2 linked regions of the Cricetulus griseus genome follow. The protein of the gene in region 1 purifies or fractionates together with the protein of each later gene. This does not show direct contact. Links are inferred from orthologs where the notes say so. Each region holds a gene or a part of one and is shown on either strand. Other genes may lie near its edges.

What was found. Proteins that work in one complex are often made in the same cells at the same time.
Region 2: the proteins of Ctbp1 (region 1) and Foxp1 purify together in Homo sapiens (affinity purification with western blotting; 3 studies listed by BioGRID and IntAct, with this or other methods). This does not show direct contact. The link is inferred for Cricetulus griseus from reciprocal best matches to the Homo sapiens genes CTBP1 and FOXP1.

What each region holds. Positions count from the first base shown.
Region 1 is NW_023276807.1:102,303,059-102,306,709, forward strand, and holds part of Ctbp1 (C-terminal-binding protein 1), read right to left. Parts: coding exon 3,637-3,651; intron 2,731-3,636; coding exon 2,524-2,730; intron 1-2,523. UniProt on the Homo sapiens protein: Corepressor targeting diverse transcription regulators such as GLIS2 or BCL6. Has dehydrogenase activity. Involved in controlling the equilibrium between tubular and stacked structures in the Golgi complex.
Region 2 is NC_048601.1:45,049,751-45,052,981, reverse strand, and holds part of Foxp1 (forkhead box protein P1), read right to left. Parts: intron 2,548-3,231; coding exon 2,403-2,547; 3' UTR 1-2,402. UniProt on the Homo sapiens protein: Transcriptional repressor. Can act with CTBP1 to synergistically repress transcription but CTPBP1 is not essential. Plays an important role in the specification and differentiation of lung epithelium.

The sequences.
Region 1 (3,651 bases):
CCTGTGAATTTATTGTTACTGTGGAAAGACACAAACATGTTTGCCTACATTTCTGGAATAATACACTCATAGCACTGGGTAAGGCGTATGATTCCAGGTGGTCTGAGACCTGTAAAAATCAAAACTATGAAGCTTCCAGAAGAAAGCAGTATCTGCATAGCACTAGAGAAGGCAGAGACTACTTAGAACAGAAATGGTAACAACTTACAAGTAATAAGCTGGATTTCTTCAGAACCAGAATCTGTCCTCATCACAGTTACTAAGTGGGTACCACGGTGTCAATATGCTTGTCTGATGAGACCCTGAGGCAGAACACAGATGGAATCTTGCAGATGCACACCAGGACAAACCAAAGAGAACACAACAGGCACCATGCTTCACAACACAGGCACAAGTTCTCTAAGGGCCAGGCATTCCGGCAAGAAAGGCACTCAGACACTTCAGCTATTGGAAAGGTGCAGATGAAAACGTAAGGGGCAGCACTAATGCTGACATTAATTAAGTGTCAGCAAAGTCCAAACTCTTAGGGCAGGTACCCAGCTAAGAAGTGTCAAAGACACACACCTGCTTGAAGAATGCCTTGGTGGTTCCTGCCTGCTCTGTCAAGTCACTCCACTTCTGGTTAAATTAAAGAAAAACAGTGTCACATGTCACAAAGAGGCATGTCTACACTTGTTTACAGCAGCTTCATCTGTCCAGTGGCTAAACAGATCAATAGAATCCTGTTCAACATGAAGAACTTCCGAGCAAGACAGGTATGTGGAGAAGACCTGAAACCTTATGTCTGTTGAAGGAGCACAGACCCAGGGTCCCTGCCCTGTGGTTCCATTTCACCAGGACTGATGAACCTAGCAAGCTGTGCCAGACAGAGCACAAAGACCACAGGCAGAGAGGGCTTGCTGGAAACAGTACAGGGCTGTCTCAGACAGAAATACATTCTATACTCTCATGAAAGAAGCAGAGTATGTTTCAGTTATAAGAGGAAAAGAAGGCAGGCAGGCATTATGGGTGTAGAGTCCAATAGCCAGGGAAAGTAGCTGGCACATCCATTACAGAACCAAAACTTACAGCCCACACTGCCTATGTGGCCTCACTGATGAACCAAGAACTAATCACCATATTCCACACAGGAGACAGCCTCAACAGGTAGCAGAAGAGAAGAGCAGGAGATACAGGGACACTGGGACACGTGCCCATCTCCCTTCCAGAGTGTGTGGAAACCAGCCTCAGACCTGTACTGTAGTTGGTAGACAGCAATTACATATGAATAGGGGGTCCTCAAGGTAGGTGTGACAACTCAGGAGCCCTTGCTGTGTCCCGAGGGGACAAAATTCACCCTCCTTGCTTGTATAGACTGTACACTCACACACAAGTATGTTTACATGTATAATCATGTCTGTGTCATCTACATCATCCACATTGGATATATGTCACCATCCGTGTATCCTGAGCCCTAGGGAGCTTTGGGATGGCTACAGTAAACAGCTTGACACAGCAGAAGGAACAGCAGGCCAATAGGTAGTGGCAGCTACATGGTATACTGGACAAACTGGCATTGCAAGAGAGGGTACAAAAAGGACACGACTCAGGCCCTAAACACTAGTGATGAAAGCAGAGGCAGATGGAGACCAAACAAACTGCCCGAGGGCAAGATCTGAGGGTGGAGATGCTCTGACCACCCAGACCTGCCCAGCAATACCCTTTATGCCTTATTCCACCCATGCTTATCTTTCTTCCATCCTTCAACACGTCTTGGCACTAGGACCCTGAGGTAGGAGGTGCTGTCTTGTCCTATACACTGGACAGGAAGGGCACATTCAGAACCATGGAGGGTCAAACAGCCCTGCTATGCATGTCCACTAGTACAGCAACAACCATATCCCAGGCCCACCTCTTCCTGTAACTAAGGTGACCTACACACACTTCCCATCTCTTGCTGCTGGCAGCAGGGCTAAGGCAGAAGCACAATGCAGCCAGGGTCAGCAAAGGGTAGGCTGCCTGGTAACAAGGGAGCCCTCAAAGGTGAACTCTAGCACAATTTACTGTGCCATCTCTATGGTACGCATAACAGATGGGTACCCACAAAAAGGTGATGGCTGTGAGAACAAGCCAGGGAGCATAGGAACCAATGATAACCTAAGCAAGGTAGAAACGGGCCTCGAGGTCATGCCCACTCAACTGCACCAGAGCTGTGGGGAGTGAGTGTGTATGCAACAACATTTGTATAGACTGTGCATATATCTAAGTGTGTCCATGTGTACACCATGTCTGTTTAATCCCCATGTGATGCATGTTACCATCCATGTATGATGTTCATTTGTACTCTTACGTGACCTCCATTGATGGCATCTGTAAGACACATAGCCTGGTGTCTCTGGCCCTGCCCCTGGACTACTTATCCTATATCTTATGCTGAGCTGGGGACAGCAACACAACCAGCAAGTCCATGGCCTCAGCTTTATGGAGTGGAAGGGTAGCAGATGGGCACAGGCTATCTGTGCTGAGTCACAGTGGCCAACGTACCTAGTCCAATGATGCCCAAGGTCTCTCCACGGATCCTGGCAGCTCCTGAAGCCACCTCTCGGATCTGCTCTACACTCTGGACCCGAGTGCCTTCCCGAAGTGCCTGATGCAGCCAGGTGGTTCGTCGGTATAGGTTCAGGATGTGGCACAGGGTGGAGTCTGCCGTCTCTTCCACAGATGCTGCGGGCACATTGCATACTGCGATGCCTACAAGATATGTGGCGACACATGTACCAGGTCCATAGCCTCCTGTCATCCACAGTCAGAGGTCCTACCCTCAGGGTGGTGCTACAGTAGTAATATGTCAGAGGACACGTCCCACAGCCACCTAGGAGACTACATGTCATTAGGCATACTTAAGCCTGTACCCACAGCCTTGCAGAACACAGATGTGGCAGCTAACAAGCAAACAGGACAGAGGACAGGCAAATGCTGCCTTGATCATTCCAAATGGTAGGGCCTTGCCCAGGGAGGGACAGGTCAGCCACCAAGGCTTTGGCCCCTGTGGCTTGCCAGGGCAGCATGAACCAACAGAACAAGACTGACTTTCCCAACACACTACTGAAGTGCTCAGCTGCCCTGTGGTTCCCAGACAGGTCAGCTCTAGCCTCTCTCTGTAGCCTTAAGGAGCAGAGTAGCAGAATGACGTCAACAACATACACTGTAGAGTGTAGCCTGGCTTTGTCAGCAGGCTACTAGCACAGAAAACAGGCTACCCTAGAATGGTAAAGTATGACTATGCTGTTTCAATATAAATACATGCACAGGTACAGATTTGTGCTCATGTGTGTACAGTCTGAGCACTTGTTGCTTCATGTGTATGTATGCATGGCTTTAGCACACATTCCCTTTGCTGTTATCTTAGGAGGAGGGCAATGATCTCCCCGACTGGCCCCTTGTCTCAACCAAACCCTAGGGCCTGGTAGGTTGGTGACAACACAATGAGTGAAGCTGTACCCACATCCTGTGCTGCCTGGCACAACCTGCCCTACCCATAGGCCCAAATCACCTTTCCATTCAAGGAGCAGTCCCAGCTCTACTGATTGTCTAATAGAGCCTGAAGGTTAAGTGAGACATCTTGGTCAATGGAAACAGGGACTTCAGAGCTCCTACCTAGATCCCCAGCTG
Region 2 (3,231 bases), on another chromosome or scaffold:
CAAAACTAATGCAGTGATCACAGCACAGCCCTTAAACAAAAGTGGCATACCAATGTTCTAAAAAAAAAAAAAAAAAAAAAAAAAAAAAAAAAAAAAAAAAAAAAAAAAAAACCAAAAACAAAACCAAAAACTCTTTATTCTAGAAGTGGCCTAGTGCAGTCAGACACTTTTCTGTTCTCCTAAGTCATCCTAAGTGTCTCCTTGATTTACACACTAATTTCAGCATCATACATTCATTTCTTTTTCTGAGATGGTATCTCATTCTTTCCGTAGGAGCTATAATACTGTTTTCCTGTTTGTATTTTTTTTTTTCTCTGCAGTAGCCCCATATTTTCTCCTTACAGGAGTTAGTTTTGGTCTCTGTACAAGTACAGAAAAGGAAAAGGAAAAAAAGTAGAAAAAAGTAAAAAACTTTGGTTCCATTGCCTACTTAGTCTGCTAAATGAACTCTGTTGGAGGGGCAGTTATTTCCCTCGGGTTGGCAAACAGCCTGGACCTCATCATTTGCCTCTGAATCCTTTTGCCTCCTTTGATCAACAATAAGAGGATATTTGGCTTCATCAGATAAAGCATAAAAGAAAATAATTTACCTTTGCATAATATCTTTGGTAATTTTAGAAATAAAAGGTACAAAGTATATAAATTAAGCTTCGAAAGGCTCTCCAACTAAACCCAAACAAAAAGCTACAGCCCTAGATAAATAAATGCCAGGGAAGTGGGTGCAGATGGAAGTGTGGAGGGGTTTGAAGGGCTGAGGGGTATACCGACCTAGAGCCATCGAATTCTGTGGGCCCTGGTCCCAGAAGCCTCAGTCTGTCTACTGGTGTCACCTGTTAAGTCTGTGCTACTCGGGTGGTGTGAGACTATCACACTGCAGGCTCAACTGCAGTGTAGACTCTGCATCCTGGAAACCAACACATCACCATCTACTGGGCTCAGTGCTCATTAGCTCCCATAATAAGTGCAAGGTGATGTCTCGTTTGCATTAAAATAGATGAGCGCCACCAAGCTGGTCTCAACCGATGCACAAACTCAGCACTATCACCATGTTGAGTAAAGTTAGTCAGGGAAGCTGGCTTTTTGGTCATTTTGCAAACAAAGCAACCCCTGCTGTTAAGGACGACACAGAATCTGTGGTCCTGGCCACTTGATTATAAGGGGGTGGGGGGGAGAGCCTTCCGTGGTCATCATGCCAGTCTAATTATTAAGGATTGTTTACTCTTGTCATCGTCTCCTCTTGGCTGTGTTTCCTGACGTTGAGAGAATGTGGCAGCAGTTACTCACAATGGCGGGCTCTATGAAAAGAAAAATCTCCAACATTCCCATCCCACCCCAATACTGCTTTTGTGAAATGAATCTGCTATGTTCCTAGAGTATGTGCGTGTGTTTCTCTCTCCTTTTCTGTCATTCGTTCTCTTTCTGGCAGGACACCATGTCCCTGTGAGAGGACCTTCAGGTGTAAGGTGCAGCCTTTGGGATCTTTTTTTTTTTTTTTAATTTTTGGAAAAAAAGACCAAAACGGAATGTTTTGTTTTGTTTTTTTAAACTTGAGAGAAACGTGGTGATGTCTATAGGAAAATGGAATGAGTGCCAGAAAACTACAGACGAGAAATGACATTCAGCTTTGTATAATAAAAACACCTATTAACATTCATCACAAGGTACAGAAAACGTGAAGCCTCCAAGAGGCCATGGGCCCAAATGGAGGCCTGAGGTCAGAACTTAAAATGGTATAGAAGAAGCAAAAAAAAAAAAAAAAAAAAAAAAAAAAAAAAAGCAATACATTAAAAAGTTTGGGATAATTATTTTTAACCCCTCCCCCCAATAAACACACAAAGGCCTTCCCCATCCCAACTGGAAGCAAAAACAAAAACAAAAACAAACAAACAAAAAGAAAACCAAAGTGAGTAAAGGCAGTGATATCAACATGCAGTGCTGTGCAAATAGGTCGTCCACTGGAATCTTGAATTCGGGCGAAGGCTTGGTCTGCGGCGCAGGTGCGCGAGCTCAGTCGGGTGTCCTCGGTGTCGGCCTTGGCAGGACAAAACTGCAGTTCAAAGTCTGCTGCTAAAAGTGAATCCGTTTATCGAATTTACAACACTGATGTTGACTCAAAGAGGAAAATCCCAAGTACCAAACAGGTCCATCCAATGCACAGAGTACAAATCCCTTTTGTCAACAAAAAGTAGAAAAATCAAAAATACTCCCAAATGGGATTCTTGATGGCACTAAGAGTTAACACATTTCAGAGTTGTCAAAATGTAGCGAAAAATCCTCCAGACTGTACAACAAGCGGAGAAAGGTTTCACTGCTAACTTTTGACGTGTTATTTTTTTTTTTAATTTGTTTTTGTTTTGCTTTTTTCCCAATCTTCTGTCTCAGGGGTCGGCCCGCCCAGAGGTTCACTCCATGTCCTCATTTACTGGTTCGTCTTCATAATCTCTGTCATGGTCAAAATCTGGACTGTGGTTGGCTGTTGTCACTAAGGACAGAGGCCCTTCCGCTTCCTCAGGGTCAAGGGGTTCCTCTTTGACGTGTACAGGGTGCCTACAGAGGGAGAGAGAAACAGGCTTAGAGGGCTTCTGGATTGATGTACATACAACTGGTGTTGGGGTAACTTAGAAGATGTATCCTATAGCAACAACACTATCCAGTAGAGGCAGAGTCACCCTGGCCACGTGTGTTTTTCAAATATGGTGGGAAACTTGCTATAACTTCATGTCTGTTGTCATTTTCACTGCCTACATCCCAAGGGTCTAGGGACCACATGTGTCCAGGGGCTTCTGGGCCACTCAATGAAAGATCTGGTGGACATCCCTGTTTTAGGAAGGATTCTGTACAGAAATTATTTCTCCTGCTTTTCAGGACGCATGAGTTACTGGAGGGCCTTGTGACGTACAGCGGATGGAGCTCAGACTCTGTGTTTCTAAGAGATTCCGGGTGATGGTGCTGGTCCTGGGACCACACTTCGGAGTGCCAAATAACAGGCCTCGTAGAGACATCCTGGGTGGATGAATGCCACCCTGCAAGTAATTACGTGAAACGGGAATCTGTAATACGGCAGTGGTTCATGGGGACCACTGAGCACAGGAGGCTGGCTGGGCTAATCATGACTCGCTGTGTGTTCTGCTCTGCTAGTTAACATGCAGACCCTGTGAAAGAACCCTCCAGAGGACGACCCCAAGCGAGGGTCTATCATTAATCAACTTCAAGCAAACACAGCAGAGAGAC